2 linked regions of the Oryctolagus cuniculus genome follow. The protein of the gene in region 1 interacts with the protein of each later gene in a biochemical or structural test. Links are inferred from orthologs where the notes say so. Each region holds a gene or a part of one and is shown in the gene's direction. Other genes may lie near its edges.

Region 1 (6,690 bases):
CCAGGGCCCAGCTTGGCCGGGGGCGGGAACAGGGTCAGGACACCCCCACCCCCCCATGCCCGGCCTGAGCCCTGCCCCTCCCCCTGCAGGTCACCTTCCAGGTGAAGGTCACGGCCTCCGAGTGCATCCAGGAGAAGTCGTTTGTCATCCGGGCCCTGGGCTTCACCGACACGGTGACGGTGCGGGTCCTCCCCCTGTGTGAGTGCCGGTGCCGGGACCAGAGGCAGGAGCGTGGCCTGTGCGGGGGCAAGGGCTCCATGGAGTGCGGCGTCTGCAGGTGAGGGGAGCAGGACCCTCGGCACGCAGCCCGCCCGGCGGCTCCACCCGCAGAAGGAAAACTTGGGCTTCCACACACAGCACCCCCCACGCCCTCTCCTCTGACCCCCGAGCCAGGCCATCGGCAGGCAATGCTGACCACGCTCCCCATTCTCTGGGCGCGGGGGCCCAAGGCAGGGCCGGCAGGGACACCCTTTCACCATAGGCAGGACCCATAGCAGGGCACAAGGAACCTCAGGGGTGGCTGTGGCCTTGCACTGGTCACTTTCTCCATCCAGCCTCTGTGTCCCTCCCCCACAACCCATTCTCTCTGACTTGGGGAACCCAGGAGTAGCAGGCCAGAGTGCTGGGGCACTACGGGGCGTGACACCCCACTTGGGGGGTAGGGGGTGGGCACAGTGGGCCCAGGCTTACATGGGTGGGCTGAGCACCTGGCCTTGACCCCCTGAGGGTCAAAAAGCCACACCCTCTGTCGCCATGGCCACTCTTCCTCCCTCTCCACGCTCGGGTCCTGAGCAGGGCCACGCCTGCAGGCATCCCAGGGTGGGTGTTTGCTGGGCTCCTACACATCCCCACGGCAGCGGTGACGACCGAGAGGCACGTGTCCAGCTACACCTGTCTCATTCAGCCCCTGGGGCCCCCAGGGTGGCCAAGCTGAGCCCACACCCCTTGGACAGCTTCACCTGCCACACCTGGAGAGGCCAGGAGCAGACAGCAGGGCGGCGGAGTGCCATCCTCGGTGCAGGGGTTGGGAGTGTCCTCCTGCCCGGCTCCGTGCCCGGAGGACTGGCCCACCCCAGGACCTCTCCTTCGGCCCACACCGCACCTTGCCAGGCTACACAGGCACCCTCACGCCCGCTCAGGCCTGCAGAAGGGGCCAGAGCCACAGCCGCCGGCCCTGCTGGTGGGCCAACCCCCTGTCGCACGACTGCTGTCTCCCCTCTGACTGCTCGCCCGGTCTCTGCCCCATTGGGCTGCTCTGTCCCTCACCCTCACCCGGCCTCCACCGTCCCCACACCTCCCCCCAGCAGCGCTGCAGCAGTGGTGTCTCTGAGACTGCCCTGGGCCTGCCTCAGTGGCCGCCTGCCTCTGCCGTCCCTGCCCCCACATCCTCTCAGCCTCGCAGTCAGGGCTGGGGGGGGGGGGGGGCTGTGACACGGCTGCAGTGCTGCCCCAGGGCAGGCGACAGCGGGCAGGGGGCCACAGCGTGGCTGCAGGAGCGCCTCGGGCCAAGGTCACGCGTGCTCCTGCCCACGACGTCCTGGCACTTAGGAAGGGCAGACGCGGCGTGGAACAGCAGGTGTCTCGGCCACCGCTGAGTCCCTCCCTCCCCGCCAGGTGCGACGCCGGCTACACCGGGAAGAACTGTGAGTGCCAGACGCAGGGCAGGAGCAGCCAGGAGCTGGAGGGAAGCTGCCGGAAGGACAACAGCTCCATTGTCTGCTCGGGGCTGGGGGACTGCATCTGCGGGCAGTGCGTGTGCCACACCAGCGACAACCCCAACAAGCAGATCTTCGGGCGGTACTGCGAGTGCGACAACATGAACTGTGAGCGCTACGACGGCCAGGTCTGCGGTGGCAAAAGTGAGTGGCCCGGACTCAGGCCTCGCTTGCTTGTCCAGTGGGGGGGGGGGGGCAGACAGCGTGGGACACGGGGGGCAGACAGATGGACACGTGGGTGGTTAGGAGAGCCCTCCCCTGCCCAGAGGGTGGGTCTGTGAGGGGGAGGTGACCTCAGTGGGTGACCGTCAGGGCCCTGGGGAGGAACCATCATCCAGGGGGGCCTGTGGAGGTCCAGGCTAGCCAGGAAGTTGCTGGTGGGGCGAGGAGGACCTGGACAGTTGCTGCAGGAGGGGGGACAGACAGAGGCGGGGCAGTGGGAAGAGGCCGGGCGATGACCCAGCAGAGGGAGCAGCCAGCAGGGCAGCAGCGTCTCCAGGCCCCTGGGTCAAAGCAGTGGCCACTGCTGTCTCCAGAGAGGGGGTCCTGCTCCTGCGGCCAGTGCCATTGCAACGACGGCTTCGAGGGCTCGGCGTGCCAGTGCAAGAAGTCCACGGACGGCTGCCTGGATGCGCAGGGCGTGGAGTGCAGCGGCCGTGGACAGTGCCGTTGCAACGTGTGTGTGTGCAAGAAGGGGTACCAGCCGCCCATGTGCCAGGAGTGCCTGGGCTGCACCTCGCCCTGCGGCCAGTACATGTGAGTGTCACCCCACCCCTGGAGTGCTCAGCTGCGGCCCCACCTCTGTATGTGGGCAGGGGGCTCTCAGCAGGCCGTAGCGCCTGACCACCCCTGCCCCAGGTTTGACTGCACTGTGGGGCTGTCTCTCTGGGGGCCTCAGGCTTGGGCCCTCTCCTGGCCCCTTTGGCCAGGTGTCCCATTCCCTCCGCCCTCCACCCCAGCCTGGCTCTCGGTAGGCGCTGGCGTGGGCCCCATCTGACGTGCACACCTGAGCCCCTCCCCCTCCGCAGCTCCTGCATTGAGTGCCTGAAATTCGACAAGGGCCCCTTTGGGAAGAACTGCAGCACCCAGTGCAAAAACCTGCAGCTGGTGGACGTGGCCCTGCGGGGCAAGACGTGCAAGACGTGCAAGGAGCAAGACTCGGAGGGCTGCTGGATGGCCTTCACCCTGTGCCAGCGCCAAGGGATGGACAACTATGATGTCCACGTGGAGGACAGCCGAGGTGAGGCCGGCGGGCCTGTGACGAGAGCCACGGCCCCGGACCTCCCCACACGGGGGGGGGGGGGGCGCTGCAGAGGAGGGGTCTCTCAGTGGCGACGCGTGGACGCTGGTGGCCAGTCCACCTGTCCCACTCCTCCCACCCCCGTCAGTTCTCTGACCTGTGACGGGCACACTGGGGGACACCACACGGCTCAACCCCAGGTCAGCTGCCACCTGATATCGAGGGGCCAAGGCTTGGAGCCACGGCTGCCAGGCTGTCCCCCAGGACAATGGGAAAATCCAGGGGCCCAGACTGTGGGCGCTGCTGCGTCCCAGAGCGGGTGGCCGCCTGTCCGTGCGGCTCCCAGTAACAGCTGCGGGCTTCGTGACCCCAGCCCTGTCTACTCGTGTTCGGGCCCCGTGTGCGGACTGCAGGAGCCAAGGGGAGGGTCCCTGAGGGCAGGAGAGGAGGATGACAGCACCAGGCCGGGGGGCGGGGCCACAGTCATCACGGGGCCCCAGGAGTCCTGGCAGACGCCAGGGCCTACCAGGGGCCAGCGCTGGGTTTTCCACAGAACAGTGACAGATCCAAGTTCTGTTGGTATAACTCAGCAGGCAGCCGGGTGGACGCTGTCCTGTCAGGGCCGGGTGGACACTGACCTGTCAGAGGCCGGGTGGACACTGTCCTGTCAGGGCCGGGTGGACGCTGTCCTGTTAGGGCCGGGTGGACACTGTCCTGTCAGAGGTTGGATGGACGCTGTCCTGTCAGGGCCGGGTGGACGCTGTCCTGTCAGGGCCGGGTGGACACTGACCTGTCAGAGGCCGGGTGGACACTGTCCTGTCAGGGCCGGGTGGACGCTGTCCTGTTAGGGCCGGGTGGACACTGTCCTGTCAGAGGTTGGATGGACGCTGTCCTGTCAGGGCCGGGTGGACGCTGTCCTGTCAGGGCCGGGTGGACACTGTCCTGTCAGGGCCGGGTGGACACTGTCCTGTCAGGGCTGGGTGGACGCTGTCCTGTCAGGGCCGGGTGGACACTGACCTGTCAGAGGCCGGGTGGACACTGTCCTGTCAGACGTTGGATGGACGCTGTCCTGTCAGGGCCGGGTGGACACTGTCCTGTCAGAGGTTGGATGGACGCTGTCCTGTCAGGGCCGGGTGGACACTGTCCTGTCAGGGCCGGGTGGACGCTGCCCTGTCAGGGCCGGGTGGACACTGTCCTGTCAGGTCTGGGTGGATGCTGTCCTGTCAGGGCCGGGTGGACACTGTCCTGTCAGAGGTTGGATGGACGCCGTCCTATCAGGGCCAGGTGGACGCTGTCCTGTCAGGGCCGGGTGGACGCCGTCCTATCAGGGCCAGGTGGACGCTGTCCTGTCAGGACCACGTAGGCAAATTCGTGCCAGGGTCAGGTGAATGAGAATGAGTGGTGACTGCCCTTTGGGAGGCTCTGGCTTGCTTGGCCTCCGCCCCCCTGAACAAAGGGTTTGCCAGGGCCTCCACCCGTCACTGGGATGTTCTTGTGTCCTGCGGGAGCCAGGGCTGGCTCCCTCCGTGCTCCACGGCTACGGTTCAGGACGGTGTCCTCACACCACTCGGCTCCTCCGTGTGCACCTGTGGCGCACCTGTGGGCACACCCTGGGGCCAGCAGGAAAGGGGGGGCTGACGCTCTGTGTGGCCATTTCCTCCGCAGAGTGTGTGCAGGGCCCCAACATCGCCGCCATCGTCGGGGGCACCGTGGCGGGCGTTGTGCTCATCGGCGTCCTCCTGCTGGTCATCTGGAAGGCACTGACCCACCTGAGTGACCTCCGGGAGTACAGGCGCTTTGAGAAGGAGAAGCTCAAGTCCCAGTGGAACAATGTAAGTGGGCACCTCTGGGCGCAGGAGGCTGCAGGCGTGGTGCGCACCCTCCCCGCCCCCGGCACAGCCTCTGCTGCTGGGGACTAGCTTTGCTGCTGAGGCCGGAACCCACGAAAGCCACCCCACCTCGGCTCCTTCCCCAAAGCAACAGCGTCCGCGTCGACCTAGCACCTCCAAAGCTCTGCCCCTCAGCCTCCCCCCCCAACAAGTCCGTGTGTGCTTTTCCCACCAGGATAACCCGCTTTTCAAGAGTGCCACCACCACGGTCATGAACCCGAAGTTTACCCAGAGTTAGGAGCACCTGGTGCCCGCGGGACATTGGACGCACCCGCTGGGACCCCTGCACCGCGGCTCCTGCACGCTGAGGCCATGGCGCTGCTCACGTCACCATTTAGCCCAAGTCCACCATCCCCTTCCCCTTCACAGAGCCGGGGGGTGGCCTCCCCTTCTGGCCACAGTCTTCGAGAGAAACGTAGAACGGCACCGCTCAGTCATGGTGTGGATGCGTGTCTTCCTTGTGAAGGCAAGCAGTGCAGCCTAACCCGAGGTGGCGCGCATTTATTTATACTTACACTTCTCAGGGTGGACATGTTCGAATCAGTTATGTGTGTAATAAAAAATGAATAAAACTTCCACACAGGCTGTACATGGGAGCTGAGCCCCGTGGCCCCCATGTCAGAGGTGGGCTCTGAGGGTGCAGCGCTCTGCTGGCCTCTCCCCCGCCCCTTCCCCACCTGCCGGCCCAAGCATGCGTGCTGGCCAGCTTTCCAGAAAGAACGCGGAAGCCCCGGCAGCGGGGGCTGCTGCTGAGCCTGCCGACCCTCGCCCCTCTTCTGCCACCTGTCAGGTACAGGCCTGCTCTTGGGAGAGAGCTGTGGTGGGCAAAGCCGGAACCCGGGGAGAGTTTTAAAGGAAGCTCTGTTTCCCACGGGTGGCCTGGGTGATCCGGGGTCAGGTGATGCGTGGATGAGCCCAGGTGGTGTGTGGTCTCTCAGGATGAGGACCCAGGCATGGAGATGCCCAGCAGCCCACGTGCCCGTTGCTGGGAACAGCAGCCCTGGGCCTCAGAGTGGGCAGGGGCTGCTGTGACCAGCGTATCCCGTTTCCACGTCCCCTGCAGGCAGGTGCTGCGTCGCTCAGGTCTGCTTGCCTCGACACGAGGGAGCCAAGCATGCAAACGTATTTCCAGATGATACTTGCCATTTAAAAGAAAAGACTGATTTATTTGAAAGTCAGAGTTACAGAGAGAGCAAGAGCAAGGGAGCAGAGGGAAAGAGGTCTCCACCCATTGCTTCACTCCCCAAGTGGCTGCAACAGCCAGGGTAGTGCAGAGCCAGGGGCCTGGACCCAGGAGCTTCGGCTGGGCCTCCCACACGCGTGCAGGGGCCCAAACACTGGGCCATCTTCCACTGCTTTTCCAGGCCATTAGCGGGGAACTGGATCAGAAGTGGAGCAGCCAGGACTCGAACCGGCATCCATATGGGATGTCAGTGTAACAGATGGCAGCTTTACCACTGTATCACAACACAAGAGCCACCCCATTAATTTGTATTGAAGAATTTCTCAAAAAATAATTTCTCTATTAAAATTCCTACAAAGTTATTGATTAAACATCTATTCATAAAAAAAAAAAAACCACCAATGGTGACTGCTATATGTGGCCCAAGGATTAACTTTTCACCGCATCAGCAGTGCCACATCATTTCACATCTAGGAAAATAATTTGGCTTATTTTATCGTCTGAAACATTTAAAAACAACGGAACCAAGTCGTGTTGTTTGCAGATAGGCCACAGGTCACCCTCGCCCCTCACTGTTTCAGTGTTGGTGGCCCTGCAGGTCCCTACCTGCCCTCCTCTCCCCGACCCCTCCCACGAGGGCAGCCTCATACAGTCTGCATGCAG
Region 2 (7,466 bases), on another chromosome or scaffold:
GCCTGAGCTAGAGGCGCAGGCCATCAGGGAGCAGCCACAGGGACCCTGCTCACGGGTGTTTTCTCTCCTAAGAAATCCTGCCTCGGGGCCAGTGTTACGGCACAGCCCGTTAAGCCACCACTTGGAACATCAGCGTCTGTGTCGGACAGAGCGCTAGTTCGAGTCCCGGCTGCTCCACTTGGAATTCAGCTTCCGGGCCATGCACGTGGCCCAGGTGCTACCCGTGGAGGGGACCCAGGGGGAGCTCCTGGCTCCTGGCTTCAGCCTGACCCAGTGCTGGCTGTTGCAGTCATTTGGGGAGTGACTTGCAAATAAATAAATACATCTTAAAAAAAGAGAGAGAGAGAGAGACTGAGAGCGAGGAAGAGGGTGCGGCCCCAGGCAGAGCCGGGGACAGAGCCCAGAACACTCGGGAAAACTTTCAGGCCACGAGAAGGTAGGGAGGAGTCGGCCACGCTGGGGATGCCGGGAGGGACATCAGGGCTAAGGGAACTGCAGGGCGGCCCCACAGGCGCTCAGAGCGGGAGCGGCGATGCCCACGCTGGGGCCAGGCCTCGGCCGCCCCAGCTCTGTGTCCAAAGCCCCTGTTGGCCCCAGGCACGCTCCCTGGCCGGCCTGAGCCCGCCTGGCAGCCAGCAGGAAGCCGTGCCCTTCCCGCAAATGGCGACAAAGCGCTGGCAACGGCTGCTTCTCTTTGCAGGGAACCGGCGCCGAGGGGGCCCAGGACCAGGAGGCGCGAGCCCCTGGGCCCCCTGCCCACCGTGACCCCACCTGTGCCCCTCACGCCCCAGCCCCAGCCTGGCTCCCCTGGGCCAGAGCAGCCACCGCCCCACCAGTCACTACGCGTAAGAGCAAAGTCCTCCCGCGGTGATGACCTGAGGCCCTTTGCATGTCCCCCTTGTCCCCTGGTGCCTTCCTGGGCTTTGTTCAAATGTCACCTCCTAGGTCTTTCCCAAAATACTCTGCTTCAAGCTGATCAGCTGGGGCTGGCAGTTGGGGTGTAGCGGGTTAAACCGCATCCCATGTGGGCGCTGGTTCAAGTCCCAGCTGCTCCACTTCCGATCCAGCTCCCTGCTAACACACCTGGGAAAGCAGCAGAAGATGGCCCAAGTGCTTGGGCCCCTGCACCCGTGTAGGAGACCCGGATGGAGCTCCTGGCTCCTGGCGTTGGCCTGGGGGCAGTCATTCCCTTTGGGAGAATTTTGGAGAATGAACCAACAGATGGGTGCTCTTGCTCTTATCTGCAACCCTAACATTTCATATTCCCTCCCCAGGCCCTGCCCCCCCCCCCGGTAGCAACAAACACCTGACGCATAGTAGGTGCTTAATAAACCCCCACACCACAAGCTGAGACGGCTAAACCACCCGAGCGCGCTGCAGGCGGACTCTGCGCCGCTAGGGGGCGCGCGCCGCCCGCGCACCTGTTGGCAAGGGGGCCGTGCGCGCCCCAGAAAAATCCGGTTGGATTTTCCCAGACCCTCAAAGGCACACACACGCCCTCGGTCCCACTCTCTGATTCTGCCCAGGCCGCCCCGGGGCGGGGATTCAAGACCCCCGAGCCACCCCCTTCCCCAAGAAAACAAAGATCCCCGTGGAAATTCCTTAGAAACAGCCGGGGCGCGGGGAGGGACCCCTCCCTTCCCCTTTTGCGCGACCTCCCTGGCCCCTTGCAGGTCTCCATGGCGACCCCAAGCGCGTCCAACAACAGGAAGCTTAAGGCGGCCAGGCCAGTGCCCGGGTCCTTGGGGTCTCCAGCCTGGATGCTGGCTCCAGCCGCGCCTGCTCAGCGCACGCGCCCCGGCTCCCCGGCTCCCCTGCTCCCCGCTGCCTCAGTTTACCCCGCGGAGCCTGAGAAAGCAGCGGGGGCGCTGGCGGCGTCAGGACCACAAGGCTTCCTTCCTGATTCTGGGAGCTGCGAGAGCCGCCCCCGCGGCCCAGGCCAAAAGGGGAAGCGAGGCCGCGGGGGTGGAAGCACCCGAGGTTCACGCGCGCACCCTGAGGTTCCGGGGCCCGCGGGTGCGCCCCGGGAGGAGTCCTGGACTCCCAGCAAGCCCACCCTAGCAAGGGGGGCGGTCTGCTCGGTTAAGGAGCGCTGTGCGCGCTGGGGAGTCAGTTTACCCCCTCTGTGAAATGGGCACAATCCCCCCAGGGAAGCCGGTAGGAGTCACTAAAGCGCCTAACGCAGTGCAAACAGGGAATCCAGGTTAGCCCGGCCCGGGATGGGGAGGGGACCGGCGGGGCGGTCCGCAGCCCCGCCGCCCCGCCGCCCCGGGGTCGCCGCCGCCGCGCCCTCCTTGCTTCAGTTTGGAAACTCCGGCGCGGGAGCCGCCAGCGAGGGAGGACCCCCCTTCTCGGGCCGGGCACCGTCTCAGCCCGGAAATGCCTGAGCCCTTGTTCCGGAGGGGAAGGCTCAAGGTTTCCGGGAAAGCACCGCCCCCCCCCCCAGGCCCCCCGTGGCCGGCGGCTATAAGAGGACCCGCGCGCCGCGCGCCGCCCCAGTGCGCACCCTGCGCCCCGGCTCCGCGCTGCTCCGCCCGCGTCCTGCCCGCTATGGCTCCCGACCGCGTCCGGCGCGCGCTGCCCGCGCTCCTGGCCCTGCTCGCGGCTCTGCTGCCAGGTGAGTCCCGGGTCGCACACGGCCGCGCGCCCTGGGCGCAGGTGTGGAAGGATCGAGACCATCCTCCGCCCCCTCGGTCTCCCGAGCGGGGCCGCTGCGGAGTCGGCAGCCGTGGGCTCGAAGCCACATCCCGCGGGGGCCACCGGGCTGGCGCCTCCCTGACTCAGTTTCTCGGGAGTGGGGGAGGGTCGTGGCGCCGCTGCCCTTGCGGGATTCGCGTGGCCGCCCCGCCCCGCTCCGCCCGGCGCCTGGCCCCTGGCCCCGGGACAGCCTGGTCACGCGCTGGAAGGCGAGTTTGGCCCCGCGCCAAACTCATTAATCTTGGGGACCCCTCTCCCCCCCCTGCCCAAGACACATTCTGTTCCTCCTCTTCTAACCCCCTGGGGAAGTCCAAGGCTCGGGGGAATTCCAGGGCGCGCTTCTCTCGGGGTCAGGAGCTGAGCAGTGGGACGCCGCAGCGCGCGCCCCCCGCCCCCTGGAAACCCCGGCCCCAGCGTGGGGGGGGGACCGGCCCAGGGGCTGCAGGGTGACCCCGCCCCCCACAGCGGGAAGCGGGAGCCGGAGAGCTCCCTGGCACCCGTGTGTAGCTCGGGAACCTCTCCTCTCTCCGGGCCTCTACCTTGCCCTCCGAGCAATGGGAGCGAGTCCGCTTCCCTCTCTGGGAGATCCTTTGCCGCTGCGATTCTCCCAGCCTCCCCCACCCCACCCCCGCCCCCCATCCCGTCCCATCCAGCCCAGATAAAGCAAAGCAGAACAGGAATCTTTGGGCCCCTGGGGGGGGTGGGTGGGAAGGGGCGGCTTCCATGGGATTTTTATTTTTTCTGTTTTGGGGGCACAGTTTAAGGAGTGGCTTGGAAAACGGCCCTTTGCTACTTACCCTTCGAGGTAGCCACTGGCTACGCTGCTGGCCTGGCTTGGGTGGGGTGACTCCAATGCACCCGCATTACAGATGGGAAAATCGAGGCCCGGACAGGGGGAACGACTTGTCCCGAGGGGTGAGGAGCCTGACTGGGGGGAGCTGGCCTCCTGGTGGTGGTGGTGGGGGGGGAGAGGCAACTGGCCTTAAAGTCAGCCTCTGCCTCCAGCCGCCCTGGGTGGAAGGACACGACTTCAGCGCGGAGGCCTCTGGAGCCCCCCACCATTGTCGCCATGGTTCACTGGGCCCCCGACCGCCCTGCACCTGCACCTGCCGGTTCCTGCGGCCTGAAATCGCTTTCCCTTTTCTCGGGGGGCCCACACGGTCTCTGTTTGTTCTCCAAGCTCTGATTTCGGAACATCGGTTCCTAGTTATCTGTTGTTTGCTCATGAGCCCTCCTGGGGCTCCCACAGGGAGCCCTGGCTTGTGCCCGGCGGCGCGTACGCGTGCACGTGCGCGCCCACGCGGGGTTGGTCATGCGCGCTCCTCCGCCCCGCCCCGCCCCAGGCCCCGGGGACGCGCAGACGTCGGTGTTCCCCTCGGAAGTCACGCTGCCCCGTGGCGGCTCCACGCGGGTCAACTGCAGCGCCGCCTGCGCCGAGCCGTCGAAGCTCGGCCTGGAGACGCAGCTGAGCAAGGAGGAAGTGGCCCACGGGGACAACTGGAAGGTGTTCGAGCTGAGTGACGTGCAGGAAGACAGTACCCTCATCTGCTTTTCCGACTGTGAGAGCCAGTCCATGGCCTCTGCCAGGCTCACGGTGTACGGTGAGTGGCCGGGCCGGGGAGGGGCTCCCCCGGGGCGCATGGGACGGCCCCTGCTAATGTGCCTGGGAAGGCAGCGGGCGGTGGCCCAAGGGCTTGGGTCCCCGTCGCCTGCGTGGGAGACCCGGAGGGAGCTCCTGGCTTCAGCCTGGCCCGGTGCCGGCTGTTGTGGGCATTTAGGGAGCGAACCAGCAGAGGGAAGACCTGTCTGTCTGTCTCTTTCTCTTTCTGTCGCTCTGCCTTTCCAATAAATAAATAAAGCAAAATACACAGACTGGGGCGGGTTAAACCCTGCTTGGAACTCGCGCTGGGCGCCTGGGTTCAATCCCAACTCCGCTTCCAGTGCCGGCTCCCTGCCAATGAGCACCCAGACGAGGCCCGGTTTTGGCACAGTGGCCGCCGTAGGAGGATTGTGCGGGCGGGGCTGCACGGCCTGGCGGCGGGGAATTGGGTGGCAGTCCTGGGCACCAGCCCCGGCAGGGGGCCTGCCAGGGGCCCGGGGGCATTTGCCAGAGCTGTGCTCGAAGGGCAGAGGAACGCAGAGGCCTGCGAAGGCAAGAAGTGGTTTGGGCGTGCAGTGGAATAGTATGCAGCCGTGTAAAAGAAAGAGGTGGCTCCTTGGACACGAAGGAAGGCACCCCGGGGGTGCGCTGTGAGATTGAAAGGGCCTGGCCCCCGCCCCCCCCCCCCCGCTGGCGGGGTGGAGCCTGTGTGCTGTGCACCCCCCAGGAGCACCGTTGGCCTTGGGCAGAGCGGCTCTTGGAGAGGGTGCTGGCGCTGGTTGGGAGGGGTTGTTTTCTTTGTGTGTCTGCGTGCCCTCAGGGATTCTGAGCTGGGAGAATGGGTCACCAAAGCAAGAATGCACACGCACAATGTGTGTGTGTGTGCGCGTGTGAGTCAAAGCGAATCAAAACAAGGAAGAAAAACAGAGAAGCGGATTTAAAAAAAAAAAAGAAATTATTTCTCTGAAAGGCACAGTTGGAGAGAGGGGGGTGGGGGAGACAGAGAGAGGTCTTCCATCTGCTGGCTCACTGTCCAGATGGCCACAGCGGCCGGAGCTGGGCCGATCCGGAGCTCCATCCGGGTCTCCCATGTGGGTGCAGGGGCCCAAGCACTTGGGCCATCCTCCACTGCTTTCCCAGACCACCAGCAGGGAGCTTGGACCGGAAGTGGAGCAGCTGGGACTCGAACTGGCACCAGTATGGGATGCCGCGCCGGCCCCAGGGAATGGCTTTGGAATTGCTTATCTCGGGCCCCAGCCCCAGCGTGGCTCTTATAGGCCAGGGACCTTGGTGGGCGACCTTGGGGTTGCAGCCCGTGAGCACAGACTGCTCCTGGCACAGCCACAGCCTGAACGCCCTGGGCCCTCGGCGGCCTTATCTCTGCTGACTGAGCAAGTGTGGCCCCGCCCCCGGGATAGGGAAAGCCCTAGACATTCCCAGTAGCCCCGGAAACCCCCCCCCCCGAAACTGTGCGAGGGACCTGGTGCCTTCCTGCCTGGCTCTTGAGATCCATCTGCCTTGCTGGGCCTTCGGGTGCTGTGCTGCCTTAGCTTCCACATCTGTGAAATGGAACACTCCATTTCAAGGGGAGGGGAGACTCGAGCCTGGCCTTCTCCCCACCCCACCCCCCACCGGTGTGGGTGACATCCCTTCTCCACAAAGGTTAGACATGGAATTCCTAGGCGGTGGGCTTTGAGGGATGTGTAGGAGTTTGTTGAAACAGGAAGCGCCTAGACAGAAGTGTGGAACGGGGAGCGTCCCGATGTCAGGCAGGAGAAGTTGCTGACCGATCGGTTAATGAGGCGGCAGGTGAGGGTAGTCTGGACGCCTCTTGTCAGCGGGGTGTTGGGGAGCCGTGGGGGGTGAGTGAGCAGAGGGCTGGACTCAAACAGGAAACAGGGGCAGCCTGGCCGTGGGCTTTGCCTGTTCTCCCCGTGGTCTGGGCCCTGGCAGTGCCCAAGAGGGAAAGGCCAGACAAATATTTGAAGAATGAGGCAGGCTGAGGTGGAGAGGCCCTGAAGTTCAAGTTCGAGGTCAAGGGGAGGTCCGGGCAGGGCAGACTTGCTCCCGGAGCCGGGCCGGGCCTGGCCGAGGATGGCTGGGCTCCTTGGGGGGTAGGTGGGGCTGAGGTTTCGGGGTTGGGGGAGGAAGCTTCAGATGCAGCAGGCTGCAGGAGGAGGTGGCTGGAGACCAGAGCCTGGCCCCTGAGGTCTCTCTTGACCTTTATTTTACTGTTTTTTTTTTTTCACGGCTTTTTTGAGGGAGAATTTACACAGCACACAATCCACCACGTGCATTCTTGGTATATTAATAGCCTCGTGCGACCGTCACCACATCTTCGTTTGCACGGCACTTGCATCCCCCCCTGAAAAGGAAACCGGCTCACTCTGTCACCCTCTTCCATGGGCTAGCCGAACGCCCGTCTCCAACAGCCCCGTTCTACAGCTCGGGAAGCTGAGGCAAAGCCGCAGCCAGGCTGGGAGTGGAACCGAGGCCTTGCTGGCTCCCGGTCGCTCAGTGGCACCGCTGTGCCCATGTCCAGGCCCCGGGAGCAGGGGCTGGGGAGGCGCAGACGCTGAGACCCTCCGGGGGACGCTGGGTGCAGGGGAGGGAGATCTGTTCTAAGCCACTCCCCGTCAGGTCTGGTCTGTCCCTTGGGCCAGATGTGATCCACGGCCTAGAGTCCCAGCGTGTGTGCTGTGTGTATGCAAGGAATATTCATTTTGGGCATCCATGAGTACTTTCTTAAAAAAAATAAAGAATATTTGAAAGGCAGAGTTACAGACAGCGAGAGAGGTCTTCCATCCACTGGTTCACTCCCCAAATGGCTGCAACGGCCAGAGCTGTGCCGATCTGAAGCCAGGAGCCAGGAGCTCCATCCGGGTCTCCACACGGGTGCAGGGGCTCAAGCACTTGGGCCATCTTCCACTGCTTTCCCAGGCGCATTAGCAGGGAGCTGGCTCGGAAGTGGAGCAGCTGGACTCGAACCGGCGGCCATGTGGGATGCTGGCAGTGGCGGCTTTACCCGCTGTGCCACGGTACCCAGTCTCCAAAAATATTTGCTTCAAAACACACGTAACTTTCTGCTCTTTTTTTCCCCGCATGCACTTCTTGCAGCCCCTGGTGCTGAGGGGAGCAGGCCCCGTGGTACTACCTACACCTGCTGGTC

The links.
Region 2: the proteins of ITGB2 (region 1) and ICAM1 form a complex in vitro, tested with the Homo sapiens proteins (4 studies listed by BioGRID). The link is inferred for Oryctolagus cuniculus from reciprocal best matches to the Homo sapiens genes ITGB2 and ICAM1.

What each region holds. Positions count from the first base shown.
Region 1 is NC_091435.1:1,710,858-1,717,547, forward strand, and holds the end of ITGB2 (integrin beta-2), read left to right. Parts: intron 1-89; coding exon 90-277; intron 278-1,614; coding exon 1,615-1,859; intron 1,860-2,251; coding exon 2,252-2,471; intron 2,472-2,743; coding exon 2,744-2,955; intron 2,956-4,620; coding exon 4,621-4,787; intron 4,788-5,019; coding exon 5,020-5,082; 3' UTR 5,083-5,420; downstream 5,421-6,690.
Region 2 is NC_091447.1:67,090,079-67,097,544, reverse strand, and holds the start of ICAM1 (intercellular adhesion molecule 1), read left to right. Parts: upstream 1-2,459; 5' UTR 2,460-2,550; coding exon 2,551-2,617; intron 2,618-4,040; coding exon 4,041-4,298; intron 4,299-7,466. UniProt on the Homo sapiens protein: ICAM proteins are ligands for the leukocyte adhesion protein LFA-1 (integrin alpha-L/beta-2).